Linked DNA regions of Drosophila melanogaster. The protein of the gene in region 3 interacts with the protein of the main gene of each other region in a pairwise test. Each region holds a gene or a part of one and is shown on either strand. Other genes may lie near its edges.

Region 1 (6,563 bases), on a different chromosome or scaffold from region 3:
CGTTGGGCCCACGAAAAGTGGGTGGAAAGCAAAGGAAAGGAGAGCAAGACAAGGTTACAACAGAGCAGGAACAACAACAACAACTAGTGGCAGGAGCAGCTGATGCGGTGGGAGTGGAAGAGCAAAGCGAATTGGGAAAGAGGAATTGGGAAAGGGAAGCGGGCAATGGGAAATGAGCAATGGGAATGGCAATAGGAATGGAAATGGAAAAGGAAGTAAGAGCAGGGCTGCCCTGTTGTCATTGTTGTTGTTGTTGCTCAGCGAAGCTGCAAAGAACGATGATGAACGATGATGAATGATGATGGACAATGAGCGATGAACAATGGACAATGGACGCTTTTAATTACATTAATGCGCGAAATTTAAGCATACAAAATTAGTTGTACCCGATTTTCTTTTGCTGCTTCGCTAATTTGTAAAAAAAAAAAGGTAGCAACAGACACACACACGCGAGCATAAACCCACACAGACAGCGAAAGAAAGTTTCTGTATTTTTTCCCACTCCACTTTTTTCGTTGATAATGTTTACACACACACATTGAGTTTTTTTACGGAAGAAGTAAAGATGATGAAGAAGAACGACACATAAAATATAAATAAAGATGCTGGAACCTCACCTTTGCTGCTGCTTCTTCGGCCACTGTAAATGAACCGTTAGGCTGGAACAGGGGGTGGTGGTGGTTGCGTTAGTGCGCTGCTGCTGTTGTTGTTGCTGTTGCGGCAGCAACAAATTGCCGTTGTTTATCGTTTTTTTTTTATCCGCGTTTCGTTTTCAATCAGCTAGACTTTTCCACATTCGACGAACTCAATATGTCGCGATCAACTCGTATCCGATCGAGAATCGTTTGCATTAACTTTATAATACACGATTATTTTGACGACACTACCGAACTTTTTGCTGCTGTAAACGTCACACAAACACACACACACACACACGCACAGGCAATTGCACACACCTCAGCAGCAGCAATTTTTTCTCTCGCCCTCTCTCCCTATGCTGTTCTGTATGACTTTATTTTTATTTAAATACTAGTACTTTTTTTAAAAGGACTACTTTAATTCAATCACTCGTTATACATCGACCGAATATTGCACTGGAAAAAAATACAGCGTTCGTTCGACGACGGTGAATTCACGAATGTTTTTTTTCGCCCACTGGCGGTGTGACCGTCGCGCAAAAGCTGAAGTAAGCCGCTAAATAAGTATTACCATATACTAAAATTCTCTGAAGCGCAGATAGCTGATAACCGATAGAAAAGTTTCTACTGCATTATCGATTATTTGAATAATACCAAAAATACCAATGATAGCTGTTTAGCACAGACTCAAACCTGTACAGTGGGCTGCAAGTGCTGTTATTACATGTTTGTAAATGATTTTGAAACATTCAACCATATGAGATAAGTATGAATCTTAATGGAGTTATGTTGCTCAGAGTAATAAGTTGTTGTTCAGCATTCCATTGATGAAAAGTGTCCATAAGATCTTTGTCGTTTAATGATAGGAAATAGGCTATTTGTTGATAAATTTAAAATACATTTTGTGGTTAATGATTGTTGGCGACATAAATAACCCATAAAAATGCGCCGAGGCGGTGAAATATTTTCGCGGTATCTGCGCACGGGCACACCAGCTAGATGGCGTCTTTAGGAGTGTGTAAAATTAATCAGGAAAGTTACCTGAATGCAAACGCGATTTTAAAAGTCGCATCTGCTGATTAAGTGGGCAAATCGAGTGCTCCTCGCGCCACAATTAGTCCGTGGTACAGTGGCCTCACTAATTGCGCAAAACACACATCTGTAAGCGCATATTAACCGTATATTTTAAAGCGGTAAATCTGCGCTCTTTGCTAATTTTCATTTTCGTGGGAAAATCGCAAAGGGCTGAAACCTGCGATAATGGATATTTTTGATATGGTCAAAGCGGCGCCGCCGCCGCAAACTATTAATCCGGTGGACACCAAGCTCTCCACTCCGTCGCCCATACCGCCCGATTCGCCAATCGACGTAAATGGTAAATTGAGCATAATTTTGTTTGCCTGCAAATTGGCTGGCAATCCTAGAAGTTTAATAACCTCCAATCGTTTTTTCCATTTTCTGTCAGACCTCCTGGAGAGTGGAAACCAATTGGACGAGAATGACTTGCGCATGTCGAGAAAATCAAAGAATGTCGAACAGTGCAGCATTGATCTGTTTGATTCGGAAACATCATTCGACCATCTCGACGAGTCATTGGCCAAGAGGAAGCGTAAGAGCGTGGCTAACTCAAAACCAAACAAAAGCAGGAAATCCACTGTCTCTGCATCGACGCCGCACAACAAGAGGCCAAAAGTGTCCATTGACGACGACGGCGAGGCCATCGAGGAGGACCAGCAATCGATGGTGGTCGTTCCCACCAAGACGAAGGCTCAGCAAAAGATGTTCAGCGATCAGCAGTCGCCGAATGTTAAAAGAAAGGTGCGGGTGCTATTACGTCGCCTGAAACAGACAGAAATCGATTCGGCCGTCGAATCTTTGGCCAATTCATCATTTATCAATGTGCCCGAGATCGTTAACCAGAGCGGTACTAGTGGCCGTAGCAGGCACAAAAAGAGAAAAACGTCACCTAAGAAACAAAAGTCATCAACAGCGCAGACCAATTTCCACATCAAAGTTCCTTTGCAGAATGGCGCCAAAAAGCGTGCTCTGAACCACTCGTTGCGCGCTCATACACCGCCGCCCAGTTTGGCCAAGAGTTCTGAAAGCACACACTCCGCACTGAAGCGAAGTCCCAAGCCCAAGATCAAGGCGAAGAGATTATCCAGTCGCGGACGCAACACCGATCCGGATTTGGTTAAGCGTTATGGCGCGCATTTCTTTGGCTGTGTGGTGAAGGTGAGGAGGACGCGTTTACCAAGTGCCAAGTGGCCTGACTGCAAACCGCCTCCCATTGGCGACGGAGTTGTCAGGAAGGTGTATCCCAAGAAGGCGGTATCCTTCAGCGAGGCCGTCGAGATTCTGGGCAGCCCCGGGGGTCCATCACGTCGGTCTACTTTCGGTTCGCTTTCATCGAGAGGAGCTCCGAAACCGACACGACTGCAGCGTGTGGATGCCACTGGCAATGTGCTGGAGGACATAGCACTGACCTCCACGCCGCTCTTCTCGTCATCTTCTGGAGGCTCGCGCGAGCGGGTTAGGCGCCGCTCATGCAACGGTACGCCTGTGGTCGGAAGGCTCAAGTTACGCAGGTTGGGCCGCCTAAGCATAGACAACAGCTCCTCCAGGTCTGATGGAGGTGGAGATAATGATGATGACGATGAGGAGTATATAGGTAGGAGGATGCACTTATTAAACTGACATCAAACTCGATGTAATCGCATTAATCATGTCTCATTTTGTATTAAATGATTTCGTTATTTTTATGACAGGATTTGACCAAATCAAATTAAAGAAGAATTGAGCTAAAACTAATGCAATTCTCTCCATTTTTACGTCCAGTGCCCAACGATGTGCCGGGGTCCCAGAGATCTGGAACGCCTCCGCCCAAGAAAAAGAAGATATCCTTCACCACGACCATCAGTGATGATGAGGACGAAAAGCCGGTACTAAAAAAGCAGAAGGATGCACAAAAAAAGCAGCCAAAACCCCTAAAAGAAAGATCAAACAAAAAGACGGACAAGATGCTAAACGAAAAGGAGACGACTGACAAAATGCAAACGAAAAAGGAGAAAAAAACGGAAAACTCACCAGTTGTGGAAATTGAATCCTCCGATCCTGATGTCGAAATCAAACCACCAGTGAAGGAAATCGAAACGAATGAGCGAGAGGGAGACGCACACGAAACTGAGACAAATGAAGTAGAAAGAGATAGAGAAGAACAATTTGTGGATGCAACAGAGAAAAATACAGATGAGGCGAAGGAAAAAAAAGTAGTAAAAGATATGCCAGAGTTAAAAGAGGCTGACAATTCGGAGGAAAAATCGGAAGATGCTCGAGAAGAAGTTTTGCTAGACGAGGACGAGAAAAATCTGGAGGAAAATGCAGCTGAAATCAGCGATAACGCCGTCAAATCTTTAGAAAAACCAACGAACGAAGACAGGGTTGAGAAAGTAGAGGACGAGGTCGAGCATGCCGAGGAGTTCAGTGACTTGCCGACCCCACCACAGCTCCCGTCCACAACTGACGATAACGAAGATGACGTGCTGGAGATCCAGACGTCGTTGGACGATGTCCGTCAATTGCATACGCCATCATCCCGCCAGAGTACGCCCAAATCGCGCAGTCGCCTCGATTCCGGTGACTCCGATTGCAGCTTTAAGTCCGCCAGCGATAACGCCAAGCTGCTAGCTGGACAAGCCATTGAGGAAACAGAGCAGAAAGCAAGCAAAGCGCCGAACGATGACGAGGATCAACAAACAGCAGCAACCATCATCGGTGATCCCATCGATTCACCCGAACTGCCGGCCGAGCTTATGACCCCGCCCTCGGCGCCCAGGACAGTGAATGGTGAACCCACCAGCGAATCCAGATCAACGGCAACGACATACTACTCGCCCATGGAGGATCCCATGGCCACGCTAGATGACGTCATCATGGACCAGCTATCCGGTGAGTGCCAGACGATCGCCTCCATCGCAAGGCAATCTCAAATAATAGCATGAATACTTAGGGAGTACAAGTGGGGACTGTTAAGTCTTCAAGACAGTAAAGTACGTCATTTTCTACTTTAATTCTTGCCAAGTAGTCTCGCTTTTCACGAAACTTCTCTATTTTGTGAGGCCAAAAACTCTTACGTTAAAGCTCTAGTGACACTTGGTCATTGGTCAAGCATTCCATTGATTGATTTAATGAACATTCGCCCGTTGCGTACATTTGTCATTAAAACAACTACTTAATAGGCATTTTTTGTACTTTCTCTGGTCTTCTCTAAGTCTGGGTATCTTAATTAAGTGTAAGTGTATAGGCAATGCACAATTTCCAGTTGCAATTTGAACTTGCTTATATTTCATACTTTCGTAAATGTTAATTTGAATGCACCTTCTAATAACTATTTGCTCTGCTTATGCCTTTTAGAACCCAACTTTCAGTTGAACTCCAGCCGCCATGCCATCTCGAGGGGTACACTGGACGAAATAATGACCGCGTTAGAATCGTAGTAAGCTGGCAAATTGCGCACCAAGTACAGATAGACAGATACAGATCGAAACCGAAGCATACACACAGACACAGACATAGCTACAAACTCACACGCACACACGTAGGTTTATTAAGGACCGATTAATTTGTACATTTAACTGAATTTATAATTAGTTCTCCCTACGATCAAGAAGTAGTCTTACGTTTATTTTTAAAGACATATTCAATTTATATGCAAACTCACGTTGAAAATACCAAAGTATTTTTGCAAGAGAAAGCTATTGGTGCAAACGTTAATATTTTGCACTTATATGATTGCTAAATTAGTCAGCAAAACAGGGACAAAATTTAACACAGCTCACTCACTCAACTTGCAAATGTGTGCGATAGACCGTAAAAATTAATATTTTAATATTATTAACGGTTAAGCGGAATCAGAAAATCAATTTTCAATGTTTAAGCTACTTAAACAGAGCGTTACGTTAGTTTGACTTTCAAGAATACGTATTGTTCGTTTCTCATCCTTTTTTTTTTTGACAACTTAGATTTAAGAAACACTTGCGTTCATGCACATATATAAATATAAATATATATATTTAAGTATGGATCGTCTTAAATGTACTGTAAGTTCAATGTATTAATGTACATCATCATCATAAAATGTATGTATGTAAAAAGAAAACAGATTAAAAATGGATAAAATATGTTGCCAGTTTTCAATGGGATTGGCTGAGAAACTTTTTCGAAATTTGCCGCCATTTGAAGATGTTGCCACATTCGAACATTGACGTTGCCATATTGTGAAAAGTCTTGTACCGTTTATTTTAAGCTATGTAAAAATGATGTTATTTTTATTACCTAACATGTTTTTTTTTTCACAGAATATTCTACAGTTAATTTATACAGATTGAATAAATTTAATGTGCTAGAAAGAGATTTTTTTGTGACTAATTTGAATAGATAAATGGAAAGATGTTATCTTGCTTTATGAACAACACACACTTAACTTTCTGATATATTTATCAATCACAGGATAACTTAAGCTCGTTTTTATTAATGTTCTATTATATAATTAATATAATAAAATGTTTCTATACACAAGCAACCATCGCTCAGCGTTTCCGTTCTTATATATTCTTATTATAATAAGTATTATTTCGAATTTATGCAACGATTTTACGTTCGTTCAGTTTCGCGGCCAACGTTGCCACATGTTGCCACACGCTTGCCCCCAAAGGTGGCCACCTTTCATGCAGAGCCCCGCGTATCCAATGCAGCGCCAAAAGCAAAACAGTCGCAACTTTGACTTGTTGACGGTTGGTTCTCCTCGGGATTCTGGGGCCGCGTCAAAATTCCAGATCGTTTGGCGCGAGTGCGAACTATTTCAAAAGTTGCCCCTTTGCGTGAGACGTGCCCCCGAAATGTTGAACTCACAGGACCAAAGCGGGC
Region 2 (4,067 bases), on a different chromosome or scaffold from region 3:
TGTAAATGGAGTAAATGGGTTATGCCATTCACGCACACAAGAAACCATCAACATACCCATATTCCAGTGAGATCCTTGATCTTGGCCAGAACTTCCAGGCAAAAAATTATCGTGGGATTCAGGTGACAGAAACACGAGGCGCACAAATGGCATTGCGAAGGCTTTTTCATTTCAAACATATGATCATTTATCCCGCTGAATTCCCAAAACAATCAGCTGTAGTTTAATTGATTTTATGTTGTCAATTATGGAATAAAAACGGTAAAAGAGCGTACGCAATCCGAGAATTTCTGTTTACTCTCTCTAAGCAGCAAAATTTGTATGAATTACCTGTTTCATGGCGTTACCAGATAGGTGTGGAAAAACTAACTGTTCTTATTTCCTAGAAACCAGGGAACATCGAGCTAGTTTTTATAATTTAAAATTTATATATTATAAACGGGAGGTTAAATTTTCCCAAAAAGAGAGGTTCAAGCTAAAACACACGTTCGGCTAATTCCTGACGTTTTTGAAATTGGTTCCATATAATTTTTATTAAAATAAGCGCGCTGTGCAATTAGAATAAAATATATTTTATAACAAATTGTAATCTAAGACCGACGTTGAATTCCTTCCACACTGGTGCTAATCGTACGGCTGGCTGGTGATTCAAAGGATTTCTCTGAACCACCGAAAAAGTCAGATAGTTTGCATCCCTGGCATTGTGGCGTGTGGAGTGTGGAGTGTGTGGCGCCAACAGTCGATTTTTTTTGTGTGCTTAAAGTTAGGTGTACAGCTCCTCTCCATCGGGAATGGCTTCCTCGTACTCGAAGTCCTCAAAATTTGCGTCCTCATCCTGAAGTACCTCGTGGTCCTCATATTGTTCCTCGTCAATGTTATCTAACATTACGTCCAGTTCAGCCTGGTTGTCCTCCATTTCTGCCTGCCCCTCTTCCATATATCCCGGAAACTCCGCCGGATCGACTTCAGACTGGAATTCCTCTTTTGGACCATTAACCAGCAAGTTGACCCGCTTGCGGTGATACTTTGTGGAGTAGTGCCGATGCAAAAACTGCGCCTCCTTGAACTCCTTGTTGCATGTGAGGCAGCTGTGAAAGAATATGAGTTTGTACATCTATGGCTACGTATATTTCAATGATTCTTACATATGGACATCCGGTTGGTCACTCTTGTGCCCCTCCTCGTGCTTCAGCCGTCCCTTCTCGCTGTTGAATCGTTTGCCGCATATTTTGCACGGGTGCACCAGCTCGTTGGCATGCATTTGACTGTCAAGGTTTTTATGGTTTATATAGATAAGGACTTGTGATGATTAGGCCAGCACTCACCGTTCATGACGACAGCGGCTGGGACTATTGGCGAATCCCATACCGCAGAACTTGCAGACGTACGGTTTCTCGCCCTTGTGATGGACTCGAATGTGCAATCGGAGCAGTGGCATGGTGTAGAACTTGCGACCGCACTCGTCGCATGAAAACTTCTCCTCGAAGTGCCGCAGCTTGTGATCCTTCATGTTGCTGTGATCGTTGAACGACCAACCGCACTGGTCGCACACGTATCGCTTTATCGAGCGATCGACCTTGGGTTTTGGTCGCCGCTTTCTGGGCTTTCGGACGTGCTCCCGCGGAGGTGGCGGTGGACTATCTGCCTTCTCGACCACAGGCACACGAAGCCGCTTGACCCTGACTCGTGGGGACTGTCTGTTCGGGAAATTTTGGTCCTCGATCCGGATTTTTTTGGCCGGAGGATATCTTAAAATCGGCTTTTCGTCCTCCAAGAAATCCTTATCATCATCCATTAAATCCTTATCATCGTCCAGTAGCTCCTTATCGTCCTCGGTGTCTACTGTATCATCCAGCACCTCCCGTTTCAGCAGCGGATCACTAAGCACTGGCGAAACCTCCGGGGAGCCTTTTGAGGCGACACCCGCCTTCGAGGAGATCCTCTGGTGGAGATTTGCGTGCGTCTCCAGGCATCGCTGCCTGAAGGCTACGGCTTGGGTCAGGTCCAGGAGACAACAAGCGCATATGTGCTGGGGCAGCATATTCTCTAAAACGATCTGGAAATGCATAGATTATGAATAATTCCGGACAACAAATAAAAGGGACGCCACCTCTAAGCCCGTGATTTGCTCGATGGCCATCCGAATGCGATGATTGCGCTTCTCGAAGATGTTCTTTGGGTGCGGCGTGAAGATGCGCTCGCCGCAGATCCGACACTCGGTGCTCATTCTTTCGAAACTAAATAAAATTGATTAATTTTAATTACAAATTATAGTAATTTTTGCGCAGCCGGTTTGGTTTTGAAGTGTGACCGTTGTCCGCAACTAGAGGTGTCAAACATTGATGTTTTTAAAATTTTCCGATATATCGATGTTTATTTCAGACTATCGATATTGGTGTTCAAATAAAAAAAAATCGGCACTGCATCCCGTGAATTTTCTTTTTTAATTGAAATACATAATACTCCTAAGAAAACACGCTTTACAAGCGAATAAATAGTTGTATATATCTCCTTTTTTTAGCAATTTATTTTTATCTTTAGGCTACGATTATAAAAATAAAATAAGCATCATAAGCAAGTTTGAAGCTCTTTTGTGTACAGAATTTGTAGTAACTAGCCTAGAAAAAGCGATTAGCAATCAAAGGAAGTCTCTCATAACGTGTAATTGTCAAATCTTTGTCAAAATGCTCTATAGAAATGCCTCCAGTACGGGGGCCGCGATCAGGCGCCAACTCTCCCGCCATCGCAGCTCCTGGAACTCCTGGATTTTGCGCTGAAAACCAGCTCTTGTCTCCAGGATGCTGGGATTCTTTGGAAAATTTTCGAACCAAATCCTCAGCTGCTCGGCCAGCTGAACATGGTCGCCAAACACGAAGCCATTCTCGCCGTGCTTCACCAGCTCATCCAGGCTAAAGAGCCATTTGTAGAAGTTAGTAAGTAATAATAGTAAATGGCAGGATTAGTTACCACTTGAAATCGTAGGCGCAGACAGGCAGCCCGCTGCCGAACATGTCGACCACCTTCATGGGCAGGTCGAGCCCACTGGTGCTCCAGTGCAGACACACGCCCAGGTCGGCGCTGGCCAGAACAGTGGGGTAGTCCTCGATCTCTAGCCAGGGCGTGATCACCGACACCTTCTGCCATTGCAGCTTCTCGATCTCCGCCACATAGTGCTCCTTTTGTGGCCCCTTTCCGGTGATGATACACAGCAGGGAAGGATAAACCAACGGCTCTGCTTGCGCAGTCTCCTCGTAAGCTTGCAAAGCCTTAAGCAGTATACCGAAGTCCTCGTCCGGCGTCCAACTGGTGCTGGAAACCAGCACGGCTTGTCGCTGTGGTCTGTACTGCACAACACCGCTGGCCAGCTTTTGGGTAAGAGCGGTGGCCTCCAGAACATCGGATTGTTCGGCGTCCTTGGCCTGGAACTGTGGGTAGTCTTTGGCCAGCTTCAGGTACAGCTCGTGCTTGTGAGTCAAGTCGATGGGATGGAATTGCGCGGGCGCACGATCATACAGAACTTTGACAGGCCTGAAAGATGAGTCGCGGCTGAGTTATTTACTTCGTTTAGATGGATGTGATGAGGACTTACCCAATGCCCCAGTTTTGCTGCAGATCCTCTTGCATGGCCCGCGTCACACAGAAGTGTGTGTGTGCCTTGGAGCCGAAGTATCGCTCCAGTCGCCTAACCAATCGTATTAGAGGACTCTGCTCTCCCTTCGACATTCCCAATGCCAGCACTGTGTACGTGTAGTTGTGCCAATCGATGGCCAGCTTGGTTCGTGTGACCGCACAGTACAGATAGCACACAATCAGCGTGGGAATGCCGGGCGGATTCTGGACGAGTAGGAAGCTGGGACGGCCAATGGAGATGAGAGCCATCAGCAGACTGAGCGTCTGCCAAAAGGCCTTGAAGAGCAGGCGCAGTTTGGGTGTTAGGTTCGTCACTGGGACGGCAGTTAGCTCGTGGATTCGGCAACGTGGATGTTGAGTCAGTTCCTCCAGCGGCCTCGTCTCCAGATACCCAATCATGTCCACGTGGTAGTTCTCCTCGAGAAGACTCTGGGCAT
Region 3 (2,860 bases):
AAACACGACTATTTCACAAGACTAGAACAGATTGGTAGGATCTTTTATCATCGCTGACAGAAGGACACATCATAAATGTGAGGAATTTATAATGGGTTTTTGTTGCCCAGTCACGCGATGATCTCCGCTTGATGGCTTAGAAACCGACCATCAGGCAGAGCCAAGATCTATAAAAAAATTCCCAAGAAATACGTATAAGTATGTATGCATGAGCCAAACCCCTGCGGATTCCTTGGATCGCACTCTAATGATTTCCTGCTTAGGATACTGGGGCTCACCCATAAACCCAAATATGCTGCCGCTTCCCAAGAGCTGTCCCCCTGCCGTCCAATGATTAATGCGCCGATCCTTGTCCGATGCCGATGAGGCGAGAATGGGAATTATGTATTTGGGTTAATGTTACACCGCAGAGCAGCACGGCTGGCATTGCTTTAATTTTGTTTTAACACAAAAATTGCCAAGTACCAGTATTTATTTGATGTGCGCAATGCTGCGATCGGAGCTGTGACTTCGCCTTGGACGGCAATTTCCTTCCGTCGTGGTGGAGCCGCGCATCTTGATCGCCGGGTTCTCAGGCTGTGGCCAGAAAACTGGAATCCCAGAGAACCGATACCATTGCCGACGACGATGCCAGTGCTGCTGGCCATTTCAAAATCTAACTGTTAACTGCAAAAGTTGAACGTACTAGCAGCATGCAACATTCAACGGCTGCACCCACGGCATCAGCAGCATTAACGGCAGTACACTTGAAAAAATATGTTTTGAGAAGGAAAATTATTTCCTATGAAAAACTAATAATATATATGTTCTTAAATATAAAAGCTTTTGGAAAATGTAGAAAAAGTTTATGTTGTTTCTAAATACTTTTGGAATTAATTATTTTTCTGGAATACATACACACCGAGCCAAATATTCTTACACAAAAATCGATTAAATTGAAGAACTCATACATCACTTTCCTCAGTGTATGCAACTGCATCTGAGCGGGCAGCGAAACGAGTTGAAAGCCGTTTTCCCTGTTTGCCAGCCAGCTCTTGAAAGTGGTTTGTTGTCTAACTGCGTTAGTTGCTGCTTTAAATTGTGCGCCCAAGCAGCTCCAGCGGCGTTTAATGGCTCCAACTGGCGACCGGAGACCTCGGCTTTAACTGGCCACCCCGCCACCGACTTCTGTTTCTGTTTCTGATTCCGAATCGGATTCTTTTTGTTGCTGCAGCGGGTTCTCAGGCGGCGTTGGCTAAATGTCATAGCGGCGGATGCACCGAGCAGATTAATCATTAATCACATGCCCATCTGAGAGTACGAGACTTCCAATATGCGGAAATTACTGGCAGCTAGCTGTAGTATCCATATGCCCCATTCCCACCATCCCCATCACCTGGTGGCCGATCATTTCCGCCGACGAGTTGGGTTCCTTTATTTTGCCTTTATTTTGACACTGGGCCAGCAACGGCAATTACTGGCGGCGGTGCCACCGAAAACCCTCCTCCCTTCCGCCCTGATTTATGAGTTTTTAATGAGCGGCCACTTTACACGAATTCAAGTTAACAAGTGGAGCCGCGTAAGAGGCCAATATCGCAAGTAGTATCGCCGGCAATCGCGCCTTGACATTCGAGTCGTGCGAAATGTCAGATGAAGATGCACCAATGATACGCTCAATGGGCGTTGGAATGCACAATACCCTAACTAAATCTGAAAGAATATGTCCAGTCAAGGGGAGTGTACAATTTTATTTCCATTTTCTCTAACGCTTTTCAAATTAATCATTTAGGGCTGCCACATCGAAAGGGTTGCCAAAGCATGTCGATACCTACAGTTATCGAAACTGAAAAATAATATCTCGGTGTGTAAACACTTGACAAAACGTGACAATTGGCTACGCGCGTCGAAAAAAGAAAAATAGATTACATTGAAATAAATCCCACGATATCTAAAACCAAACGGAAGATGCCCAGCTCCACTTTGACGTCCTCTACTGCTCTTCCGGTGAAGCAACGAAATGGATTTGATCTTGGACTCGAACCGTTGCGGATCTTAGGAGCCTGCAACTGGTCCGGTAAGCTGACCTTTTTGATGCAGTGGAAGGGTTGCGACGAAGCCGGCCTGGTGCCCGCCGAAGTGCTCAACGTTCGGTGCCCCCAAATGGTCATCTCGTTCTACGAGGAGCGTATTGTGTTCACGGATGAGGGCGATGAAGAAGACTTGGAGTCGGACAATGGGTATGAGACCACTCCGAGTCCCAGGAAGAAACGATCACGAAATGCCTAGTCCATAAAACTATTGTGCACCGAAGACATTGCGGTGCAATGTCAATAAAGAGTATTGACTCTTCTGCCACGAGTTTTTCTTCATTTTCTGGTCGCCGTTGTCGCTGGTGATTGATTATGCATTTTCATGCGAACTGGTTGCTGATGCTGCACTTTGTTGGCATGCGGGCAGGTGAATAAGTGAGTTTAGCTCGGCCCAGCCACGCCCTCCGCCTCCTAGACGCAGCTTGATGTTGGAGACAGGCCGGCGGCATTATCTGCCGGGCGCGAAATTATACGTGTATGTATACACCGAGCGAAAAGTCTGTAGGGGTATTTGAAAGTTCATAAAAAAAACAGTTCATAAATGGTGCACTTGCCTCATTAAACTTTTTCCAGTGCACTTAATGCTGTCAGTGACCTTCACATCGGGGCGTTGGAAAACCTGCAATTAGAAAAGAAGGTTAAGCCGCAGGATCAGACTCAGCTCTCAGATTCCATGTTGCAGGCGCCTCAAGATTCACGCAGTCAACTAATACGTACATAAAAAAAAGGGTTAAATTGGTGGCGCACCTTTCTTGCAGCGACATTTTGACATTGAAAAAGTATAATTAATT
Region 4 (3,264 bases), on a different chromosome or scaffold from region 3:
GGACCATCGGCTGCGCACAATACCCAAGAGCGAGTGCGTCTTTGGTATGAAAGTGGGCAACATGGAGTTCACCATATTCGGGCAGCACCTCAACATTCGACCCGCCGAGCGAAGCGTTAAGAAGATCAAGAACTTTGTGAAGCCCTTCATGTAGGAACTACAGGACCAATCATTAGCCATAGAAATTGAATCCTATTGTAATTTAAGGAAAAAAGTTTATTGGAAAGTTAGCATCGCTTTTCAATAGAAATTTAATAATTGCCCTCAAAGATCCTCTAAAACTTTACTTGTATTTGAGATTGTTGTGTTTAATATATATATAAAACCGTACATTAATTGTTTTTCTTGTTTTTTTTTTTTTTTTTTGGGGGGGGGGGGGTATATTTCGCGCCGCGTTTTTTTCGTATTTAGGTTCTAGTTTATGGGAGAGATTACCCGGATTCAAATATATCCAGTTTGTAGGAAAGATTTATGCGGGCGTCTTGGTCATGGTGATGACAGCGGATGGAACCAAGCCGAGCACTTCCAGCGGCTTCTCGTAGTCGTCCTCGGCGAACAGCTTGCGCGGAAAGGTGGTCATCAGAGAGAAGGGCGACTCGATGCCGGTCTTCATCTGGATGAACACACGTACGGCGGACAGCTGCTCCTTGACGTTGAAGGTTTCCTGTAGTGTTGAGCCATCCTGCAGGCGCACCTGGATGCGGGTTTCGGTGTAGTCTCGCGGCGGAGATTTCACACCGGCCGGTGGTGACGAAACTGTGGTGGAGCTCACGGATGGAGCTGGCTCTGCGTTGCCCAATTCCTTTTGTTCTCTGCATACCATGAATTATAATGAATTATGAAGTGGAAGGATAGGGCTAATCCTTACCTAGCCTTGCGTGCTGCCTTGTCCGCCTCAATTTGAGCCTTTACCCGATCGCGGGCCGCCTTCTCCTCGTCCTTTTCGCGCTTGCGCTGCTCAACGATCTTCTTCATCTCCAACTCCTCCATGCGCCGCTTGGCCTCGGTCATGTCCTTGCCGGACTTGATGCGATTCTTTTCCCGCTGCAGGGCTTCGATTTTCTCGCGCTCCTCGCGTTCGATGCGTTTCTGCTTGAGCTTCTCCTCGATGAGGGCCAGCTGGGCCTTCTTCTCCTCCTCGGTGAGCGCCTTCTTTTCCTCCTCCGATTCGGAGAATTTGGTGTGACCGGTTTTGGCGGCATGGTACTCCACTTCGGTGTGATCTCTAAGAACTTTGCCGCATTCGTCGCACTTCAGGGACTTGGCTACCGGAGCAGAGGTTTCACCTGCGCCACTGGTGCTACTGGAAGCTGCTGCGGCCGAGGAATCCACAGCCGCAGCTGGTTGAGCTGTGGAACCAGGGGATTCGCCGGCACCTTGACGGGATGGTATTGGATCATCCACGTGGGCCAGCAGCCACTCCATTGCCGGTTCTACGCCCTTGTTACTGGTCACCTCCAGTGCATATTCACTGTGAAATATATTTCAGGATTAAAGCAAATTCGATTGTTGCAGTGTAACTTATTTTGCCGGTGACCAGTTGGCCATTGTATTCGATACTTACACACGTTCCCGAGGGAATCCCATATCCATCAATGTCTGCACTTCACTCATAGCGTTGGCTGATTGCGTCCCAAAAATTAATAGTTCAGTTTCGTATATTTATGAAAACGAAAAATTAACAATGACACACAAAAACAAAGCCAGGCGAGATGGATAACTATCGATAGCTCGACCCGTGGTATATATCGGTGTAATGCAATAGTTGCAGCTATGGCAAACAAAAATGATAAATAAATAGTTTTAAATATAATATAAATTTTAAATATATAGTAAATAAATTAAGACAAGGAGCGGACAACCAAATACATTCCATAATTCTTTTAATTTTTTTTATAGATATTACACATACTTTTAAATAAGCATTCCATATAGCTGAAATCTACCCATCATTTTCGAGTAGTGTAGTGCCACCACCACCATAGATAGTTCGAGGTTGCCTGCGACGTTTACCAACTCTGCAAATTTGGCGTCTACGGAGATAGGTTTTTTCGACTTTGAAAGAGAAATTTCAACAATTTTATAATCAAAACCATGTCACCGAAGACTAAAAAAATGATCGTCAAGATTCCGCGCCATCCCTACTTCAATGTGCAGGGCGAACGGAGCGTGGAGCGCGAGGTGGAGTACCAGGTCCGAAAGTGTCGCGTGAATCTGGAGCGCATCAAGTCGTCGACTTCTCCGAATTCCCGTCCATTCCCGTTAAAACCGAAGCCCAAGAGATGCATTGTACGTGTAGCCCGACTGCCGGACGTGGAGCGCAGCGAGATTTCCGTGACACCGGCCAGTTCCATCATGAATTCCGACATTGACGAGAGTAGGTGCCAGGTCTTCTAGGGAACCTACGCCACAGACTACTTTAAAGCATTCTTCTTCATGTTATCCTTACAGATAGTGGCAGCGATCAGGAGTCTAATCTGACAATCTAGTCGTCTCATACTCAAAGAGCAATCAACGCATCCAGCTGACAAACTTCTAATCGCACTTGGAGTCATTCGAAGTACACAGAGTACATGTCCAAGATAAACCAAATAGATGTGCGGGGCTATCCTTTTCCTGAATATATATGTATAAGATCCTTATCTAAGACTTTATGCAAATCAAGCTCGATTTCTTAATACAAACTCGTGCGCCTAAATAGAATTTTCTCTTGTTTTTCATATTTAGCTATAAGTTATCTAGCAAACTTGAATCCACTTTATTTTATATACCAGATAGGATTTATTATGTAGACCATTTCATATGGATAATTTCATCGGCATATAATTGTATGTGCTGTGATTTTTTACAACAACAAATGTTTGATTAAATTTGTAAGGAATTGTTGTATTTTTTTGGAATTTCTAGAATATTCACAAAATTTCAAAAAATGAATTTAAAAAATGGCGGCAATAAGATTTTATCGAGTTGTGTTATCGACCATTAGATATCAGCTTTTCATTTAAAACTTTGGTAAAATAAATATACAACACTTCACTCTTTAAAAACGGGAATAAAAGAACATTAAATATTTTAAAATAATTATTTTTATTTAAAAACATATATTTTTAGACCACTTATCGACAGATCTATATATCGATACCCGGGAGTCAGCTGTCGGCAGAAAAATATTTCTGGAATAACAAAAACAGACAAAATTACCCGTATCCGAACCGAGTCGTTATTCCAACACCAAACATGAACTGGCACAAGGGCAACATTGCG

The links.
Region 1: the proteins of HP6 (region 3) and HP5 interact in a two-hybrid assay, tested with the Drosophila melanogaster proteins (2 studies listed by BioGRID).
Region 2: the proteins of HP6 (region 3) and Odj interact in a two-hybrid assay, tested with the Drosophila melanogaster proteins (one study listed by BioGRID).
Region 4: the proteins of HP6 (region 3) and HP4 interact in a two-hybrid assay, tested with the Drosophila melanogaster proteins (2 studies listed by BioGRID).

Annotation. Positions count from the first base shown.
Region 1 is NC_004354.4:11,453,179-11,459,741, forward strand, and holds HP5 (heterochromatin protein 5), read left to right. Parts: upstream 1-1,607; 5' UTR 1,608-1,898; coding exon 1,899-2,013; intron 2,014-2,103; coding exon 2,104-3,309; coding exon of another isoform or gene 3,310-3,335; exon of another isoform or gene 3,336-3,406; coding exon of another isoform or gene 3,407-3,438; exon of another isoform or gene 3,439-3,476; coding exon 3,477-4,586; intron 4,587-5,051; coding exon 5,052-5,134; 3' UTR 5,135-6,049; downstream 6,050-6,563.
Region 2 is NT_033777.3:17,806,891-17,810,957, forward strand, and holds Odj (oddjob), read right to left. Parts: upstream 2,333-4,067; 5' UTR 2,228-2,332; coding exon 2,111-2,227; intron 2,057-2,110; coding exon 1,326-2,056; intron 1,266-1,325; coding exon 1,146-1,265; intron 1,089-1,145; coding exon 764-1,088; 3' UTR 517-763; downstream 1-516. Other genes in the region: CG17801 (uncharacterized protein), read right to left, coding at 57-179; Alg1 (ALG1, chitobiosyldiphosphodolichol beta-mannosyltransferase), read right to left, coding at 2,690-2,909, 2,968-3,528, 3,590-4,067.
Region 3 is NT_033779.5:4,577,188-4,580,047, reverse strand, and holds HP6 (heterochromatin protein 6), read left to right. Parts: upstream 1-1,829; 5' UTR 1,830-1,944; coding exon 1,945-2,265; 3' UTR 2,266-2,329; downstream 2,330-2,860.
Region 4 is NT_037436.4:7,974,875-7,978,138, reverse strand, and holds HP4 (heterochromatin protein 4), read left to right. Parts: upstream 1-1,984; 5' UTR 1,985-2,094; coding exon 2,095-2,377; coding exon of another isoform or gene 2,378-2,397; exon of another isoform or gene 2,398-2,451; coding exon 2,452-2,489; 3' UTR 2,490-2,701; downstream 2,702-3,264. Other genes in the region: POP4 ribonuclease P/MRP subunit, read left to right, coding at 1-154; CG8209 (uncharacterized protein), read right to left, coding at 470-812, 869-1,471, 1,565-1,614; CG8042 (uncharacterized protein), read left to right, coding at 3,238-3,264.